4 linked regions of the Saccharomyces cerevisiae S288C genome follow. The gene in region 4 interacts genetically with the main gene of each other region. Each region holds a gene or a part of one and is shown on either strand. Other genes may lie near its edges. The genes, in order: CTP1, ARO10, MSA2 and ARO8.

Region 1 (5,012 bases), on a different chromosome or scaffold from region 4:
AGTGTGAGACCAGTTATAATAAGAATTGAGCCCATAACATCTATGTCCCTGAGTATTTTTCCGGGATTTTGGAATATGCTAGAATTTTGACGATTATATTCTTTCTGATTAGGTACATAATAATTCATTAATATGGAACTAATCACAGATATGGGTACTTGGATGAGAAAACACCACCTCCAACCAATGCTCGACGCTATTGTGCCACCGAAAGACGCTCCACATATGGCACCAAATCCCAAAAGTAAATTCTGAAACGCTTGAAAAATTCCTCTTTTCGAACTTGGAATAACGTCTGAATTTACGATTGTAGAAAGTGTGATCAAGCCACCACCTCCTATGCCTGTCAATGCTCTCATAAAACTAAGCATGTAGATGTTTTTCGAGAAACCACAGGCTAGACATCCAATGGTAAAAGCCCCATTAGCAAAGAAAAGGCAGTTTCTTCGACCAAGTGCATCAGAAAATGACCCATAAAGAGGTTGAAAAGATGTTGATGTAATTAAATACGCAGTGGTGATCCAATTTGAAATACTCATCTGATTAAATTCGTTACCAATCGTTTGGTACGTCGAAGCTGTAACGGTTCCGTCAAAACCGGACAAAAAGACATTAGAAAAAAGAGTAGCTTCAATAATCCATCAATTTGGGATTCTTGAAAGCGCTATATCTTCGCCTTTGTCCAAGTCCTCATCTAAGTCTTCACTGTAGTCGACAGAAGGAATTTCAGTCTCTTCAATACTGCCATAGTTTCCATCCTTGCTTTTCGGTAGTACTTTGTGTTTACTAGATTTAAGCATTGCGAAAAAAAATCTGATTTGGAATTAATGTTTCATTTACTACATTTTAAAGCATTTTGTACCATTCAGAGGCAAGAATTGGCCAATACTGTGTGTTCTTATAACGATAACTAGTATATATATTCTCGAAATTGTATATTTCTGTGGATTTGCACACAATCATCTAATAGCAAATTAGGAAGAAAGCCACACATGCACATATATCGCATCACTTACCGAGCCTTAGAATGTGGTTGCCACACATTAGGACATGTTACCCCCCGCACCTAGCAGAAATATAGTATTAATCTATCAGTGCTCAACACAATGTGATATCAGTACAATTCTTCATGCCATGGTACGTCGTCTCTATTTTCTTTTATATTCTGTTTATTATATCATGTTCTAAAAATGTCATATATACAATTCTGAAAAGGTTTTTGACCCTTACGTAACGCTATTCGGTCAACTACTTGTGAGACATATATTGTTCAAATATGTAAATGAAGAAAAGTACGCCTATTACTAGGATCCACAATACCGTAAAGCCTGTTAAACAAGGAGGAACAATATATATATCATAATTTTTTTAGAAAGAAAAGCCAAAGAAACAGCATTTGCAGGCACAAATCCGTGATAATAATGCATAGAACAATATGTGAAACCCCACAAGGTTACTGGTCGGATGATGAGCGAGCCCAGAGAAACCAACAGACCTCTGTAAACATCACTATGCCTTATCACCACACTTTACCATAATGCATTGAAAGTGCAATTGGAGAAGCCACCAATAGACGAGCTATGATGATATATTTAGCGTCCCTTAAAATATCGACTTATACAGTGGATAACATTTCCGCTCGCATTCCTCGAAGAGCATTATTTCCAAACTACTGTTGAAAAAAAAAAAATACGAAGACGACGCTTACCTGAGCACCCAGGATGTACACTTCGCCACAAATTTTGAGAGGCCTTTTGTTGTGATATTAGTTGAAATATATAACCACTTAATCAGGCAAAAAGACAGCAGTCACTATTTCAAGTTGGTAAAAAAATCCTGTTTTCGCTAATTGTCGATTTGGCCTTTCACCTGGACTTGAAAGCTTCAATTACGGCCTGATACATTCATTCTTTATACTGACCTTTGCCCAATTTATTATCCAGAACTATAGCCATTAGGTTGCAGGCCACTGGGACCACCACTGACTGGAAAATATTCTATTGACGAATTTTCCGCAACTCATCGCTGATTAGTTTATGAACTTATCCCGTCGGAATGAGAAAGTTACATATGCAGGAATTCTCTACAAGCAGCAATAACATGCTTTTATTTTACTGTCGTATTGTAATTGCTTATTCGGTTCCAAACATGTCAGCTATGCCAATATTTTAGAAGAGTGGGAAAAAAAAGAGATGTTATAGACGAACGACAAAAGTTGTGAAAAACTCGAATGGAGTAATGGAGCAAGAAACAAGAATCTGTCATAGTCAATACGTGATTTTGATATGCTTTCAAGCTTCTGAGAACTTCATTCATTACACTCCACCACATATACTATACAACGAATAGCCCAGTCGAAGAGGTTATGATTGTGTTCATTTATTTTTTTACATGACAGAGTCTCCCTATTGATACTAAGCTTGCTGCAATAACTCTTCTTACTAAGAGGTAACTTACATCTTGACTTTTTAATGAAGTTCCCAGCCGATTACCATTATACGTCGCCGTTTCGTTCATGTAAATATTCAAATATACTACACTTTATATCTTTGCTTCTTATATTTTCGCGCGTAGGTTTGCCTAATTACATTTTTATATTCCTCATCAATAAAGCCGCCAACAAAGAGCACAGGGTAGAAACTCTGCTGTCTGGGAACTCGGCTAACGCTTGTAAGCTATTTAATATTCTCAAATCATTTCAACACCTCTTTTTTTTTTTTCAAATATGTACTATTTTCTCTATTTCCATTAAGTTAGTCTTACTGAAGAGTCAAGAATATGGAAGAATTCCTGCGGAATTTTCAATTATTAGAAGTGAAAAAAAAAAAAAAGAAGAACAATGAAATTTAGTCTCACTTTAGCGTGATATATAAAACGTAAAATGTCGAAGCCAACGTAAAATTAAAAACATTTTGATGTCACAATGAAAGAACTCCAAAGTAGAGCTTGAATTATAAATTAGCATTTTACCGATGTCCAGTAAAGCTACCAAAAGTGACGTAGATCCATTGCACTCGTTTCTGGCAGGGTCCCTAGCCGGTGCTGCTGAAGCATGTATAACATATCCTTTTGAGTTTGCCAAAACAAGGCTGCAGCTGATTGATAAGGCCTCCAAGGCATCAAGAAATCCTCTGGTATTGATATATAAAACTGCAAAAACTCAGGGCATTGGTTCCATTTATGTCGGATGTCCCGCATTTATTATTGGAAACACCGCTAAGGCGGGTATTAGATTTCTTGGCTTTGATACCATTAAAGACATGCTAAGAGATAGTGAAACTGGAGAACTAAGTGGTACAAGAGGGGTGATAGCTGGGTTAGGTGCGGGACTATTAGAAAGTGTTGCCGCAGTGACTCCTTTTGAAGCAATCAAAACTGCTTTGATCGATGATAAACAATCTGCTACACCAAAATACCATAATAATGGGCGCGGTGTAGTACGAAACTATTCATCATTAGTCCGTGATAAAGGATTTTCTGGTCTTTATCGTGGTGTTTTGCCAGTTTCCATGAGACAGGCCGCAAACCAAGCCGTTAGATTGGGTTGTTACAATAAGATTAAGACCTTGATCCAAGATTATACGGATTCGCCAAAAGACAAACCTTTATCATCCGGGTTAACCTTCTTAGTGGGTGCATTTAGTGGTATTGTGACGGTCTATTCCACCATGCCCCTTGATACTGTGAAAACAAGAATGCAAAGTTTGGATTCCACCAAATACTCCTCTACAATGAATTGTTTTGCAACCATTTTCAAAGAAGAAGGGTTAAAGACGTTTTGGAAAGGTGCTACGCCTAGACTTGGGAGATTGGTCTTGAGTGGTGGTATTGTTTTCACTATCTATGAAAAGGTCTTAGTTATGCTAGCCTGAAATGTATTATTGTGTACAATATATCATCTAATGTTTTCTACTCGTTATAAGTCTATTTACCAGCCGATCACTTAAAAAAGTTATATATCTCTTTTTATCATAATGAAGAAGATGGCTTATGCTTGATTTTGACTTTGGTTGAGGTATTTCTTTTCCAATTTTTTGACTTGAATGTAGTCGTATATACTCTTCAGGGTGATAAATAGCCCAAGAAATGCCACAAAAACAGCCAACCATGGTATGTTTTGTTTTTCTTCATCCAGACCGTGATTCAAATGTGATTCAAATTTATCTTGTGTCGTTGATTGTGAATTTAGACGAACATCATCGAATTCATTTGGATCCTCTAATTCCATTCTATTTAAGCTTTTATTTTTGCCGACTTTTGAAGTAACATCATTGGGAATCATTGAATAACCATATCCAATGAACGTTAACCCTAATCCAAACCTTGAACCTTGCTTTGCTGCGTGAGATGTGTGTAAAATGTAGGTTATTAAAAATCCAATGAACTGAAAACTCGTGCTTACGATGATATTCCATAATAAATTTGCTATATTTCCTACAGGAAGCCCCTCAATGCATATTTCGTCGTAGTAGATATCTGAATTGTTCAAATCCATTCCATAATACGAGGGGGCCATATCAGCAGCAGCTTCGTCGTATGTAGGTGGTATGTCTTGTTCGTTATTACCTTCAGTCTCTGTGGTATCTGGTTTTGCGCTTAAATTGCTAAAGACACCATCAAACATGGCACCTTGTTGTATATCCGAAGACTGTTGTGTACGTTTCTTAAAAAGTCTATCAAGAATATTAAAATGTCTTCCTATTTTTCCTATATGTCTGGCTGCTTGTTCCCTCAGCTGGTGTGGTACTAGTCTTTCTGTCGTACTATTTCCTCCACTGCTGCTTCCCTCGTCCTCTATGCTATCTTCCTCGTCAGACCCTATTTCCGTTTCCCCTTCTACGCCAGTTTGTGTGTCTCTAGTTCGTCCTGCGTTTCCGACATTTATGCCATCAGTAGATGAACCTGCATGAAGTGTATTCATTTCTTGCCCTATAAGTAGTTCTTGCTCTGGCATAGCGCTTAGTTTCCTAGACTACGTGTTCTTGTTATTCTCATGCTCTTTTTATGTATCT
Region 2 (5,985 bases), on a different chromosome or scaffold from region 4:
AAAATCAAAAGCCAAAAAAAATCCTGTATCAAGAGGCCAAAGTGACAGTACAATATACAATACTCTACCACAACATGGAAATTTTACAGTACCGGAGTTTAATCACAAAAAAGCGCAAAGCAGCCTTGGCAGTATATCCAAAAAGCAAAATTCTAATGATACAGCCACTAATAGACGCATAAATGGTTCATTTACAAGTTCAAGCTCGGGGCATCATATAGCAATGTTCCGTACGCCGCCTTTGGAATCAGGGCCATTATTTAAGAGGCCATCTCTGTCATCTGAGTCCGCACACCACAGATCTTCTAGCTTACAGACGTCTAGATCCACTAATGCATTGTTGGAAGACGATTCCACGAAAGTGGATGCTACTGATGAAAGCGCTACAAGCTTGGAAAAGGACTTTTACTTTACTGAGTTGACTTTAAGGAAGTTAAAATTAGATGTGAGGGAACTAGAAGGTACGAAGAAAAAATTATTACAAGATGTTGAAAATCTAAGATTAGCGAAAGAGAGGCTGTTAAATGATGTTGACAATTTAACAAGAGAAAAGGATAAGCAATCTGCATCTTCCCGGGAGTCCTTAGAACAAAAAGAAAACATTGCAACATCAATCACTGTAAAGTCACCAAGTTCAAATTCCGACAGAAAAGGGAGCATATCTAATGCCAGTCCTAAACCACGCTTCTGGAAAATATTTTCAAGTGCTAAGGATCACCAGGTAGGCGATCTAGAATCACAGCAACGTTCGCCAAATTCATCTTCAGGCGGAACGACAAATATAGCACAGAAAGAAATATCATCACCGAAATTAATTCGAGTACACGATGAGCTTCCTTCTCCAGGCAAAGTACCACTGTCGCCAAGTCCAAAGAGATTAGATTATACGCCTGATGGTTCCCATTTATATGGATCTTCGCTACAAGCTCGATGTGCGTATGAAAAAAGTACTGTTCCAATAATTATCAGGTGCTGCATTGATCGCATTGAAAAAGATGATATAGGCCTGAACATGGAAGGCTTATACAGAAAGTCGGGCTCACAGACTTTGGTTGAGGAGATCGAAAATGAATTCGCTCAGAATAATTCGTTGCATAGTGATACATTAAGTCCCAAACTGAATGCTTTACTGAATCAAGATATTCATGCAGTGGCTAGCGTATTAAAACGATATTTGAGAAAACTACCAGATCCAGTTTTATCATTTTCCATATACGATGCCTTGATAGATCTAGTTAGAAATAACCAACTAATTGAGAGGCTACCATTAAACAACGACAAGTTTTTGGATTCACCACAAAAAGTGACTATTTATGAAATGGTGCTCAAAAGCCTACTTGAAATTTTCAAAATTTTACCCGTAGAGCATCAGGAAGTATTGAAAGTATTGGCAGCACATATCGGCAAAGTTCGAAGGTGCAGTGAAAGAAATTTAATGAACTTACATAACTTGTCGTTGGTCTTTGCACCGAGTCTTATCCACGATTTTGACGGCGAGAAAGATATTGTGGACATGAAGGAGAGGAATTATATCGTGGAATTTATACTTGGAAACTATAGAGACATATTTAAGCAAGCATAATACAGATTTGCAAAAGTTAAATAAACATAGGATAGATTAAATAAGAAATCATATGAAAAAAGAATAAAGTAAGAAAATAGTTCAATGTATATTCGTCAGTTCAGGGTGTGAAAAGGTGGCAATTTTTTTGTTTCCGACCCGTAACAAGTGTTCAATGGTGGTGAAGTCTTTTCTTGGCAAATTTCTATACTTCCCAAATTCTTCATGAATATAATTCACAAAATTAACTTGGTTTTCCTTTGGTTTTGTATGAGCCGTTCGTATGGAAGCCCTATACAGGTGTAAGACTTCTTTTTGTAACCCACTTAATCTCTTAGGCATGCTCTTGGTATTGCGTCTCCTCTTCTTCTTGTGTGTTTAAGCTACATTATCTTTGTTAAGAATAATTTGGCGAACCCCTTTTTTTCTTCGGCTTTGCAAGGTTAATTAATTAACATCTACCAGTTTTACTACATTTTAGATTGGTTCGTCCACCGAAATTTAAAAAAGCAGGATTGAAAGCGTACAACAACGTCTTAGCGAAAAAGATAATCCAAAATTCGATGCTTGTACACCTCATGTAGCTTCCTTATTAACATTTGGTAGTAGGCTTAGGCTATTTTTTGAAAAAGCCGTCATATATTACTTTGAGCCTTTGCGAATCCTCTCCAAAGTGTCGGTTACCTACCGGGAGGGATAACCGCGGATAGCCGTCATTTACCGAAAATTGCCGAGGTCATGCTGAGCATTTGTCGTACTTTTGTGCGGCGGAGCTTTGATACCTTCGGTAAGTGTCGGTATGTAATAGGTTAGTGGCATCTTATTTATTGTGTTGAGTAAAGTTTAAGATATAAACTGGGCTAGTTTGCATCGTCACTACAGCGGCAGCTCACTTTCATTTTTTTTCTGCGTTTATTAATACTACATAAAATCTGATATAAAACATATTTAACTGATCAACCCTCTCAACTTGATACTCAAAACAAGTTGACGCGACTTCTGTAAAGTTTATTTACAAGATAACAAAGAAACTCCCTTAAGCATGGCACCTGTTACAATTGAAAAGTTCGTAAATCAAGAAGAACGACACCTTGTTTCCAACCGATCAGCAACAATTCCGTTTGGTGAATACATATTTAAAAGATTGTTGTCCATCGATACGAAATCAGTTTTCGGTGTTCCTGGTGACTTCAACTTATCTCTATTAGAATATCTCTATTCACCTAGTGTTGAATCAGCTGGCCTAAGATGGGTCGGCACGTGTAATGAACTGAACGCCGCTTATGCGGCCGACGGATATTCCCGTTACTCTAATAAGATTGGCTGTTTAATAACCACGTATGGCGTTGGTGAATTAAGCGCCTTGAACGGTATAGCCGGTTCGTTCGCTGAAAATGTCAAAGTTTTGCACATTGTTGGTGTGGCCAAGTCCATAGATTCGCGTTCAAGTAACTTTAGTGATCGGAACCTACATCATTTGGTCCCACAGCTACATGATTCAAATTTTAAAGGGCCAAATCATAAAGTATATCATGATATGGTAAAAGATAGAGTCGCTTGCTCGGTAGCCTACTTGGAGGATATTGAAACTGCATGTGACCAAGTCGATAATGTTATCCGCGATATTTACAAGTATTCTAAACCTGGTTATATTTTTGTTCCTGCAGATTTTGCGGATATGTCTGTTACATGTGATAATTTGGTTAATGTTCCACGTATATCTCAACAAGATTGTATAGTATACCCTTCTGAAAACCAATTGTCTGACATAATCAACAAGATTACTAGTTGGATATATTCCAGTAAAACACCTGCGATCCTTGGAGACGTACTGACTGATAGGTATGGTGTGAGTAACTTTTTGAACAAGCTTATCTGCAAAACTGGGATTTGGAATTTTTCCACTGTTATGGGAAAATCTGTAATTGATGAGTCAAACCCAACTTATATGGGTCAATATAATGGTAAAGAAGGTTTAAAACAAGTCTATGAACATTTTGAACTGTGCGACTTGGTCTTGCATTTTGGAGTCGACATCAATGAAATTAATAATGGGCATTATACTTTTACTTATAAACCAAATGCTAAAATCATTCAATTTCATCCGAATTATATTCGCCTTGTGGACACTAGGCAGGGCAATGAGCAAATGTTCAAAGGAATCAATTTTGCCCCTATTTTAAAAGAACTATACAAGCGCATTGACGTTTCTAAACTTTCTTTGCAATATGATTCAAATGTAACTCAATATACGAACGAAACAATGCGGTTAGAAGATCCTACCAATGGACAATCAAGCATTATTACACAAGTTCACTTACAAAAGACGATGCCTAAATTTTTGAACCCTGGTGATGTTGTCGTTTGTGAAACAGGCTCTTTTCAATTCTCTGTTCGTGATTTCGCGTTTCCTTCGCAATTAAAATATATATCGCAAGGATTTTTCCTTTCCATTGGCATGGCCCTTCCTGCCGCCCTAGGTGTTGGAATTGCCATGCAAGACCACTCAAACGCTCACATCAATGGTGGCAACGTAAAAGAGGACTATAAGCCAAGATTAATTTTGTTTGAAGGTGACGGTGCAGCACAGATGACAATCCAAGAACTGAGCACCATTCTGAAGTGCAATATTCCACTAGAAGTTATCATTTGGAACAATAACGGCTACACTATTGAAAGAGCCATCATGGGCCCTACCAGGTCGTATAACGACGTTATGTCTTGGAAATGGACCAAACTATTTGAAGCATTCGGAGACTTCGACGGAAAGTATACTAATAGCACTCTCATTCAATGTCCCTCTAAATTAGCACTGAAATTGGAGGAGCTTAAGAATTCAAACAAAAGAAGCGGGATAGAACTTTTAGAAGTCAAATTAGGCGAATTGGATTTCCCCGAACAGCTAAAGTGCATGGTTGAAGCAGCGGCACTTAAAAGAAATAAAAAATAGAAACTTGTGGGCGCAATTATAAAACACTGCTACCAATTGTTCGTTTTCTGTTCATTAACACATAAAAAACCCTTATGTAACTATATTTACAAAGTAAATACGTATATTAAAGCTATTTTACCACTACCACAGAGTTCTTTGTCCAGTTGCTAGTATTTTTTTTTTCGCGACGAGGCAGGGGCGGGGAGACGTGTTGTTTTTCCACGGCTTTCGGCTCACCACTTGAAGAACTATAAAAGGCCGCCAAATTTATCCTTTTTCACTTCTTCCGTTCGCTTTTTTCTGTCATTCCTATCGTGTGTTTAGTAGTAGGTTTTTTTGTTAGAAGAAGTTTTATCCGAAAACTATCGAAGACAAATAGATAAAAAAATCTCCCTCGTTCTATTTGAAACTTTAAGAAATCCATATTAAGAAAATACCTACATCTGCTAAATGTCTGCTAACTTAGATAAATCCTTAGACGAAATCATTGGCTCTAACAAAGCAGGAAGTAATAGAGCCCGTGTCGGTGGTACTCGTGGTAACGGTCCAAGAAGAGTTGGTAAGCAAGTTGGTAGCCAACGTAGGAGCCTTCCAAACAGAAGAGGCCCTATCAGAAAAAATACTAGGGCACCTCCAAACGCAGTCGCTAGAGTTGCCAAGCTCTTGGACACCACTAGAGAGGTCAAGGTCAACGTCGAAGGTTTGCCAAGGGACATTAAGCAGGATGCTGTAAGAGTATGTTAATACGTGAAATGAGAGCTATTTGTTTAGTTACTCGCATCGTCTCGTGTGGATACGAGAAATATTCTTTGTAAGGAAGGATATGGCACACGCTTTTGATCAAGAATTCTCTTTTTAGAGATGAAGAAAGAGTCCGAAATACTTCGCTAGAGAAAATACAAAAAGAGTATCGTTTTCATAAGCCAACCATACCAATTTTTTTCAATACTTCAAATCATGGCCTATAAGGTTGGAATTACCAGCTACCACTGAGAATGGGTTTGTTCTTATTGGCTGGGTTAACTCAAATCAATCTGACTATCTGCTAATCTGTCAATCTTACATTTTTAAGCTGGCGTATTGTGTCGCCTCGACCGTGATAGTTAGTTCCTATTTTTAATAAGCGTATCATCCAATACTGAAGTTGTGGAAGGATCAATTAATTTTGTATCCTTTCAAGAGGGAGTAGCTTTCAGTTTCGAATGGCACCATTTTCAAAAAATAGCTATGGGAAACATGTCTTTCATGAACGTTCGAAAAGATATGAGTGCATCGCTTCATTTTTTTATTATGATAGTTACAAAAATATTTGATTTGAGACACCTAATGAAACCAAAGAGGAACTCACCCATCGTGGTACATGTTTATTTGAGGGTTTATTTTTCCTACGCAATGGTATACTTTTAATACTCTCAACTCCTTGATTGTTTGTGTATTGTCCCTTCCTTCTTTGATTTTATATCATAGAGATATATGACTAACTTTTTTTTTT
Region 3 (5,050 bases), on a different chromosome or scaffold from region 4:
CAGACGATGGGCATGAAATGTCTTCTAATTTCACCAAAGCGTTGTCATTGCTCTCTATAGAAGCGTTAATCTCATCCACCTCCTCGGTTACCCAGCATTCCGTATTTTTCTTTAAAGCAGATTTTAGATTTTTTGTTTGTTTCTGGTCAATTTGGTTCTGGACCGGCGATATTTCGTTTTCATTACTATCTATGTTAGTCAAATCTGGACCGTACAACACCGTTACATCGGTTTCTTTGTTCCAGTTGATGGACAGTGGATTGGATTTGGAGTTCTGTAAACCATAGTGATTTATGGACCAACGCCTCCAGAGGCAATGATGTAGCCTAACGAGGTACATGTTGTAATCTAGCACGTCCTCTGAAGAGCAACTTGGTAATCGAAGTAGTTTATGTTTGCGCATCTTCAATAGTAGTGTCCATGAAGCCGATATTTCCAAGCTTGCATCATTAAATTCATGATGGAAATAGTCAATCGCAGGCTTGTTGTAGTTGGTCATGTTATCCAGTAACATTATATTCTGGTACGAAATTATTGTATCGTCCAAACTAGTCATTTTCTGTATATGTATCTATTTGTGTGTGTATGAACACTTGTGTGTAGTATCTGAATGCGATAAGAGAAAGGGCCAAAGTTGAACTGAATGCAAAAAGTAAAACCTATAAAACCGTGTTGACCATACGCTTTCATATATATATATATATATGTTTGTTTTTGCTAAGACCCGGTAACTGTACTTTTTCTGCAGTCATCCAAGGGAAGACAAAAGAAGAAAGAAAAAACAAGATTAATGTCCCCAGGTTTTTTCTTTTCCTGGCGGAAAAAGCTCAAATCTAACATTTCCCCGCGGGGGTTTCTTTGTAAAGAGTATCGAGTCGGAAACGAAAAAAAAAAAAAGATGAGAAAATGAATTTTTCCGGTCGCCTAAAGATAGAGGTACCAGCGGAAAAAATGCAGCAAAAGCAAAATACCCCATTCAAGTTCCCCCTGTCTCGCCCCTCTCACGCTTCACTGTCCCCCGCTTTCGGTTTTTCCGGCTACGGCATTTCTGTTGAAAGTTGCCGGAAAAACCCCAAAAAGCATAAAAAAAAAGAGCGGGGGGAAGAAAAAAAGATTCCTTTCTATCTTTTCCTTCCCCGGCCTATTCGGGTACTCGCTTCCGGGTCCGCTGTCGTTTATAATGATTAGTGCAGAGAGCTTTCTTCTCTTAGTTTTTCATGTGGTAAAGGCAATGCCATTTAGAAGGATACTACGTGGGGTTCAAAACCGTGAATACGTTGTCTATCGTGTTATGTATGTTCTGAGTTTCTTTTTGTCATTCTACTAGTTTATGGACTGGGACTATGTATCTTGCAGTATGATTTCGTCAGGAAGCTTGTCATAGCAAGGCCTGAACAAATCGTACGTTAAAATAAAAATGAGCACCAATTCGAGTCACTGATGCCTACTGCTCAATCCAACCATCTAGTTCTGCAAAGATACTTACTCCGCATAATTAAAAAAATAAGGTATTTTAAAGTTGTGTAGTGACGAATGTAGTGACGCGGAAACGTTTTACTCGTCAATGGACATTTGCGAATGTGTCCGATAAATAGTTGAGGCTTTTCCTGCATTCTGTCAAGAAGGGTATGTGTATGAACATGCAAATGACACTGTAAAATGATTCATTACCCTGATTATGGAGTGATTTTCTTTCCTTTTTTTTTTTACATTTAGTTTCATTATTATGCAAATTAGAGGGTATACAGTTGAGATTTTAACACTTTGAATTAAAAAGTGTTACAGAGGAAACCGACGCAAAAGGCTTGGTGACGCAAACTTTTCCATCTTTATTTCACCTCTTCAGACGGTCCTAAGACCTTTTGAACGTATCAATATAGTTTTATCATCTGTTCTCTGTTGTTCTCCGTTACTAAGATATTAGTCAGCTCTTGAAATTTCACACCCCTATTTATTTGTCTTAGCGTCCAACCCCTCTCAACCCTTTTCCATTTCTTGTATAAAGGTAGTTAATTAGGTAACGCTGCTCTTACCATCACTACAGTGCTTACGAGAATTTACCCAAACCCTGCGCAAGATAAATAAGAAATGTCGAAACAGTGGGCGAGTGGTACAAACGGAGCTTTCAAAAGACAGGTTTCGTCCTTCAGAGAAACAATCTCTAAGCAACACCCAATTTATAAGCCAGCAAAGGGAAGATATTGGTTGTATGTTTCACTTGCATGCCCATGGGCCCATAGAACACTAATTACGAGGGCTTTGAAGGGATTAACCTCTGTTATAGGATGTAGCGTAGTCCATTGGCACCTTGACGAGAAAGGATGGAGATTTTTGGACATGGAAAAGCAATTGGAGGACAGTGAAGATTTTTTGGAACATTGGCACGATGTTGCAGGTGGTATTAGAACTGCTAAAGAGGATTCCAGCAAGAGCTTCGCCGAGATCAAGAATGACAGTCAAAGATTCATGGTTGATGCTACCAATGAGCCTCACTATGGATACAAGAGAATCAGTGACTTATATTACAAGAGCGATCCTCAATACTCGGCAAGGTTCACCGTCCCAGTCCTGTGGGACTTAGAAACCCAAACAATTGTTAACAACGAAAGTAGCGAAATTATAAGGATTTTGAACTCTAGTGCGTTCGATGAATTTGTCGACGACGATCACAAGAAAACGGACCTTGTTCCTGCTCAGTTGAAAACACAGATCGATGACTTCAATTCTTGGGTTTACGACAGCATCAACAATGGTGTATACAAGACCGGATTCGCAGAGAAAGCAGAAGTTTACGAAAGTGAAGTCAACAACGTATTTGAACATTTGGACAAAGTGGAGAAAATCCTGAGTGACAAATATTCCAAATTGAAGGCCAAATACGGTGAAGAAGATAGACAAAAAATCTTGGGTGAGTTCTTCACTGTGGGTGATCAATTAACAGAAGCTGACATTAGATTGTATACTACCGTCATAAGATTCGATCCTGTGTACGTCCAACATTTCAAATGCAATTTTACCTCTATTAGAGCCGGATATCCATTTATTCATTTGTGGGTAAGAAATTTATACTGGAATTATGATGCCTTCAGGTACACAACAGATTTTGACCATATCAAGTTACACTACACGCGTTCCCACACAAGGATCAACCCCTTGGGAATTACGCCCCTGGGACCCAAGCCAGATATTCGTCCTTTATAACAAGCTGTAATTAAATAATCAAATGTCTATAATCTCCCTGAGTTGCCTCTTTTTCTATACTCAATTGGGTAATTGACGCGAAACGCGTTAAAGTGCAAAAAAAGGCCTGGAAATTATATTTAACGCAATGAAATATTTTCATAATATGACATTCATGCACAGCTGTATTCATTCTTCTACTTTGTAGTTTGTTATTCTTCTTTATCGGTTTCGTTTTACAAAAGATTTTAGCAAGGAAGCAGTTTTTAAACCAATCAATGGTATACACAACACCGCAACAACAGCAGAGATTCAGCTCCACACCGCAATCTAGCCACACTCTTATCTTCTCGCCAATCAGAGCCCCTTCAATGCAAACGCCCTCCTCATTGGATTACCAATCACCTTCAATTGTTGTGTCATCGTCTTCAATGAAGGTTCACGGCCGGTCTTCCAGTTTCGGTAAATTTTCACTGTCTATTGGGCAAAATGGTAAGGCTACAATACTGGGGCCTATAAACGTCCTTCCCACTGATACATCGAAAATGGAGAAACCTGTACCAAAGAAAAAGCCTGTTACTTCTGACCGTGTCGAAAAGACTCGTATATTATCTTTGTTGAAAAAAATGAGAAACAAGAGCAGTACTGTCAACAAAAAATATAGTAAAGTACCATTAAAGTCTACGACAAGTTTGCAACCAGCAGCTACTGCACCTTCACCACTAGTGTCCAACATCATAAAGCCGTCTCCCAAAAAGTTAGCTTCCCCAAGAACTCCGAATGCAAACTCCAATTTAAATCTAAACTTTACTTCATTTCAGATTAAAACAGGTTTCACTCCCAATCTCGATGGAATTTTACTTGAAAACTTCACGTCTCCTAACACAACCGCTGATTCACAGGGTAATTCCGCCAGTAACATCATAAATAATAATCACGGTAGCGCAAATAATACCAACCAATTTCTTTTTAATCTACCACTTCAATCATCACCAAGGCAATTCAGGTCTCCTGCAAGATTAATAGATCCCCTTCCCATATCGGACTGGAACACCAGTCTCTTGATGTCACCCCCAAGAACGACGAATTTTGAATCTGCAAACAATCACTTCAATTCAAATTTTGCTCAAGCATCGATGTTAAGACGCCCTTCACTACCGCACATAGATGAGGTGATTCCACAGGACTCTAATCCAGCCAATTACTCAGATAGATCGGACTATCTATCTGTGGACCAGAACGCCAATAATCATAATGGTGCACTTTCAGAACAGACCTATAATAATATAATGAAATCTTCTATGATTTCGTTACCTATAGAAAAAGATGATGCCACAATGGCACTACGAAAACTTGTCTCCAGAGAGTAGGTCCATTTGGTTTTCGTAAAATACACTACGTAAGATTTCATTATATATTCAAAACCGAAGAACTTTATTTAATTAATTCTATTCAATATTTTTTTTTTCCCATTAAATTGTGTAGTGGAAGCAAAATGCACTGCGCTTATGTGAAAAAGTTACACAATAGGGAATACATGGAACAGCAGATCAGAACTGCAACCCTACAGATTAGATATGGAGAACGACAAGGCGTCACATGCGAGCCCAAGCATTGGAGTGAACGAATTTGTCGTTCAAGGGGAGATATCCATAGACGACTCCGAAAGGTCTGTCAAGAGTGTTAGCGTTAGCATAAGTGATGATGAGGATAGTAAGACAGATGTACAAGATAATATGGCCACACCGTCCACAAGATCGAAATTTCAAACAGATCTGGCCATTGATAATAGGCTATTGGAAAAAGATCCAAAGTACAAAAAACTTTTCACTGAAAAAAGAAGACGTCGAAGACCAGAAAGCTGTATTAA
Region 4 (5,589 bases):
CATCGTTCGAGTAAATATCGACAATGCCTCTACTCACTAAACTTTTATCGAAGGGTACCATGTGAGAAGCATTATAAACGCTAACAAACGTCAAATTTCTATCATACTTCACGTATCCGCTAAATTCTTCGCTGTCGTCTGTACTCTTCGATTTATGGATCCAATCGAACGAAACAGCATCGTCGCTAAATCCCTTTATTCCACCCCATTTTAGATTGTCTATAGTATCTAATACGCCCTTGTTATTACAAATCAAGTCTTTGTCACCATTGAACAAGACAATCTCTATTCCACTTTCAAGTAGACCAGGTAATAAATGGATAGATGGCTTTGAAATAGGATTAGACAATTTAGTTCCAACGCTATTAGTGCATTCCTTCCAATGATCAATTTTATCAGAATCAAGATGCAACGAATCAATAACACCAGGTGTGCTGAAGAATTTACTGACAAAGGAAATATCTTTCGGCCAATTCATACCACAAGATGGATAACTATCTTTTAAATTGAAGTTATACATGTTCAAGCAATCCGCTGTTCCCTTTTGCGAAGATTCCCTGGTATAAGACAATAGAAGGTTTAAAATATTCTCACATTCCTGATACGAAAAATGGGCTGCCTCATCTGTACTGGCAGAGTTTATCAGATTCTGGCAATTCTCGTGTGCGTTCGTTAAGTGTTTGAAATTGGGGTTGCTTTCATCAATCAGTTTCTTCTCCATAGCAAACGGAAGGTACGATAGGGACTGTGTATTGGGGTCAATCCAACCGTTACCAATCAATAGCGCCTTCAAGTCGTATGTATCCCCGTCGATCTTTGAAAATTTGTTATGGTTCAAAATTGCATTGGCAAAGAATGGTATGTATTGGCCAGCGTAACTTTCACCCGATAGTATGATTTTCCTAGTGAGGTCTTCTGGAAAAATCTTGAAATAGTTCTCCAGAAAATCCATAAAATGCTTGGTCACATCTTCTAGGTCTTCGTCAAATTTGTTTTTGTCGATTTTACCTTCGTCTTTATTTTGTTCGACAGAAAACCCAGTACCAGTAGGTTGGTCGATAAATAAAAGATCGCCTTTGGATATCCAGGACCCTTCATTTAGATAAAGTTTACCGTCTGAATTCACCCTAAAAGGGCCGGATTCGACCAAGGCACCATCCATGGAAGAGCAACCGGGTCCACCATTTAACCATATAATTAAGGGACGGTCGACATTGCCATTAGAGTCGTTATTGGTAAACTTCCAAAAAAAGTACTCCAAGTCAGAGCTATCCTGTTCATCCGCATCTTCGGAACGTAAAGGAATATGGCCAGCATGCATCTGTGGAATATTTGAAGGGTCTGGCACTTCAGATAACCCTGGCAACAGCTCATATGCCACTTTGTACTCCTCAGATGACGGAAGGGATACTGAGATCCTTATTAAAGCAGACATGGCTAGCCACGTTCCGAGCCACCTATTGTAAAACATCTATTCAGGTCTTTATCTCTACGGTATTCTATAGCCAAGGTACTCTTTAACCAAAGTATGCTTCAGCAAGCTTTTTCAAATAGATGGGAGTTGAAGACAATGATAAGAAATCGCTTTTCTTAATGTTTCCTATATTATCAAAATATTCCACTTTTTTTTCTTTTTCCACATTGTTTTTCGGTTCCGGGCTGCAGTAAGCAAATATAAATGTTGGTGACAAAACTTGAAAGTTATAGCCAAAAAGCTCGCAATTCCTCACCTAACAAAATGATCCTGTTGGAATAAAAATCAACTATCGTCTATAAACTAGTAGTCACACTACCAGTATATTATCATATACGGTGTTAGACGATGACATAAGGTATGAGAAACTGTCATCGAAGTTAGAGGAAGCTGAAGTGCAAGGATTGATAATGTAATAGGATAATGAAACATATAAAACGGAATGAGGAATAATCGTAATAATATTATGTAGAAATATCGCTTCCCCTTTGAGGATTCCTCTACCCTCGAGGAGAACTTTTAGTATATTCTGTATACATAATATTGTAGCCTTGATCAACAATGAAATGCCTACAATCATCTTAAAATTCACCAATCTCTCAGCTCTTATTTAAGCTTTGTTGAGACGAGAGTTAGTTATCCGACAATACTATACAAGACATTAACATCATTTTTCGTGCTGTTAGGGTGGTGTCTTTTCATTTGTTGCAATAAATGATAAGTAGTTTACCGTCCATTAACATGTGCATTAAATAATAGCATTATGTGAACATAATGTATATTTAACTAAAACTATTATCGAAGAAATCCGAAGAACTCATCCTTGTTAGCTCAGTTGGTAGAGCGTTCGGCTTTTAAGCGCATTTGCTTAAGCAAGGATACCGAAATGTCAGGGGTTCGAGCCCCCTATGAGGAGTTCTTCTTTATTTTTTTCCCGGTTCACTATTTTTCCAAGATTAAACATGGCTCATATACACCATCCAAAAATCTCTTAATTAACCTATAACCATTGTTCTCCTTCACCTCATTCAAGAATCTGGCTTCTGAATTGCCATTGATAGAAGAACAGTACTAAATTGCGCCGGAATAATGAAGAACATCCGGGTTACCTTAGATGTCTTTTTTTCCTTTTTTTATCACATTTTTCACTCTGCACTTTTTCACTTTCTCGAGGTCCAATCTATGACTAATATTAAGCGCATTTCATTTGAAGATATGTGTATCGCAATCTTTTTTCTTATCTTGTAGACCCTCCTATACACATCTCTAGACTATATATTTGGTTTGGTTATATCTTTAAGAACTTATTTCTTTTTCTTATTTTTCCATTCCACTAAGTTAAACCCTGCAGTTGATACAGACATTGAATAGGACAACCGATCGTTACTATCATGACTTTACCTGAATCAAAAGACTTTTCTTACTTGTTTTCGGATGAAACCAATGCTCGTAAACCATCCCCATTGAAAACCTGCATCCATCTTTTCCAAGATCCTAACATTATCTTTTTGGGTGGTGGCCTGCCATTAAAAGATTATTTCCCATGGGATAATCTATCTGTAGATTCACCCAAGCCTCCTTTTCCCCAGGGTATTGGAGCTCCAATTGACGAGCAGAATTGCATAAAATACACCGTCAACAAAGATTACGCTGATAAAAGTGCCAATCCTTCCAACGATATTCCTTTGTCAAGAGCTTTGCAATACGGGTTCAGTGCTGGTCAACCTGAACTATTAAACTTCATTAGAGATCATACCAAGATTATCCACGATTTGAAGTATAAGGACTGGGACGTTTTAGCCACTGCAGGTAACACAAATGCCTGGGAATCTACTTTAAGAGTCTTTTGTAACCGAGGTGATGTCATCTTAGTTGAGGCACATTCTTTTTCCTCTTCATTGGCTTCTGCAGAGGCTCAAGGTGTCATTACCTTCCCCGTGCCAATTGACGCTGATGGTATCATTCCTGAAAAATTAGCTAAAGTCATGGAAAACTGGACACCTGGTGCTCCTAAACCAAAGTTGTTATACACTATTCCAACGGGCCAAAATCCAACTGGTACTTCCATTGCAGACCATAGAAAGGAGGCAATTTACAAGATCGCTCAAAAGTACGACTTCCTAATTGTGGAAGATGAACCTTATTATTTCTTACAAATGAATCCCTACATCAAAGACTTGAAGGAAAGAGAGAAGGCACAAAGTTCTCCAAAGCAGGACCATGACGAATTTTTGAAGTCCTTGGCAAACACTTTCCTTTCCTTGGATACAGAAGGCCGTGTTATTAGAATGGATTCCTTTTCAAAAGTTTTGGCCCCAGGGACAAGATTGGGTTGGATTACTGGTTCATCCAAAATCTTGAAGCCTTACTTGAGTTTGCATGAAATGACGATTCAAGCCCCAGCAGGTTTTACACAAGTTTTGGTCAACGCTACGCTATCCAGGTGGGGTCAAAAGGGTTACTTGGACTGGTTGCTTGGCCTGCGTCATGAATACACTTTGAAACGTGACTGTGCCATCGATGCCCTTTACAAGTATCTACCACAATCTGATGCTTTCGTGATCAATCCTCCAATTGCAGGTATGTTTTTCACCGTGAACATTGACGCATCTGTCCACCCTGAGTTTAAAACAAAATACAACTCAGACCCTTACCAGCTAGAACAGAGTCTTTACCACAAAGTGGTTGAACGTGGTGTTTTAGTGGTTCCCGGTTCTTGGTTCAAGAGTGAGGGTGAGACGGAACCTCCTCAACCCGCTGAATCTAAAGAAGTCAGTAATCCAAACATAATTTTCTTCAGAGGTACCTATGCAGCTGTCTCTCCTGAGAAACTGACTGAAGGTCTGAAGAGATTAGGTGATACTTTATACGAAGAATTTGGTATTTCCAAATAGAGAGGTAAATACGTTGGAAGAATATATATAAGGTGAAAAAAGGACGTACGTATTTTTGTATTGCTTAAATTTCGAAGTATTTTTTCTTTTTGTAAAAGACTGCAAGTGGAAGCCAAAATATAATATTTTGTTTTTTCATTAAGAGTACAACTTTATACAACAATTATAACTTGATTTGAGAGCCAAGTTATGTAAGATATTTTTCTCCCACAAAGAGAAATGCACACGATAGGAATTTACAACGTGAACGATACTTGAAACGAAATATGAAAATCCGCAAGAGTGCACTGAATTAGCTGGAATCCTGTGGTTCCAATTGATCCAAAACCTCACAGTTTGGATGAATAACATAAACAGTTTTATTATTTTCATTTTCCTCATTCTCAAGATCTCTTAAATTGTGTCTGGTACCATGAATCTCCATTAAAATCCTATCTTTGACCAACCTTTTTATGACTTTGAACGCTAATCTTCTCTCTTCCCAATATTCTGCTAACGAACCCAAATCATTTTCCTTCTGTAATAAATACCAATCAACTATATCCACAGCTGTTAGTTCTTCTGCACCCTCCCTATCTACTTCAGCAATCTTTCTAACGATCATGTTCATCATGGACACATATTTATCATACGTCACCGTTGTTTTCTTCTTCTCGCTTGTACCTGGACGAGCTGTAGCTTCGCTTTGTCCTTCTTCTATATCTGCTGGTGGCTCACTCGTAATTACACCTGACCCAGTCCCATCATCATTGTCATCATTGTTTCCAGAAGCGGCGTGACTTTGACTCTCTATGTTATCAAATTCTTCATCCATTTCCACATCATCCACATCAACACGAATAATACTTTGCCTTAAAAGATCGTAAGCTTCTGCAATGAATGATGGAGTAATTTCATCGACACAATTAGCCCTCGCAATAGCTTCTGATAATCTAATCATACTTTCAAGTTGCCTAACTGTGATTCTATAACTCGATCTACTAAATCCCTGGGCATCATCCTTTCTCAGTTCCTTATACTTCTCGACTAAATAGGAACGGGCTTCTTTCGTTAATATTGGTTTAAAAGTACGTGCATATTTGATATAACGACGTAGTTGTTCTGCACTAAATGGCGGCTCAATGGCTTCGTCTCTTTTCATGTGTAAGTCAACGATATGAGATGCCAATTCGGTATCAATTTTTTCGTTACAGTCATCAAGAATAACAAAAAATAAATCAA

The links.
Region 1: mutations in ARO8 (region 4) and CTP1 together harm fitness more than expected from each alone (negative genetic interaction), as found in Saccharomyces cerevisiae (2 studies listed by BioGRID).
Region 2: of ARO8 (region 4) and ARO10, changing one enhances a phenotype caused by changing the other (phenotypic enhancement), as found in Saccharomyces cerevisiae (2 studies listed by BioGRID).
Region 3: mutations in ARO8 (region 4) and MSA2 together harm fitness more than expected from each alone (negative genetic interaction), as found in Saccharomyces cerevisiae (2 studies listed by BioGRID).

Annotation. Positions count from the first base shown.
Region 1 is NC_001134.8:782,533-787,544, reverse strand, and holds CTP1 (Ctp1p), read left to right. Parts: upstream 1-2,972; coding exon 2,973-3,872; downstream 3,873-5,012. Other genes in the region: VBA2 (Vba2p), read right to left, coding at 1-539; YBR292C (uncharacterized protein), read left to right, coding at 2,472-2,843; BSD2 (Bsd2p), read right to left, coding at 3,989-4,954. UniProt on the Saccharomyces cerevisiae protein: Transport of citrate across inner mitochondrial membrane.
Region 2 is NC_001136.10:1,231,615-1,237,599, forward strand, and holds ARO10 (phenylpyruvate decarboxylase ARO10), read left to right. Parts: upstream 1-2,603; coding exon 2,604-4,511; downstream 4,512-5,985. Other genes in the region: GTPase-activating protein RGA2, read left to right, coding at 1-1,582; SDH6 (Sdh6p), read right to left, coding at 1,664-1,903; RNA-binding protein YRA1, read left to right, coding at 4,944-5,228. UniProt on the Saccharomyces cerevisiae protein: One of five 2-oxo acid decarboxylases (PDC1, PDC5, PDC6, ARO10, and THI3) involved in amino acid catabolism.
Region 3 is NC_001143.9:580,195-585,244, forward strand, and holds MSA2 (Msa2p), read left to right. Parts: upstream 1-3,458; coding exon 3,459-4,550; downstream 4,551-5,050. Other genes in the region: YKR075C (uncharacterized protein), read right to left, coding at 1-556; ECM4 (S-glutathionyl-(chloro)hydroquinone reductase), read left to right, coding at 2,089-3,201; VPS501 (sorting nexin family protein), read left to right, coding at 4,758-5,050.
Region 4 is NC_001139.9:113,194-118,782, forward strand, and holds ARO8 (bifunctional 2-aminoadipate transaminase/aromatic-amino-acid:2-oxoglutarate transaminase), read left to right. Parts: upstream 1-2,865; coding exon 2,866-4,368; downstream 4,369-5,589. Other genes in the region: KEX1 (serine-type carboxypeptidase), read right to left, coding at 1-1,471; MCM DNA helicase complex subunit MCM6, read right to left, coding at 4,661-5,589.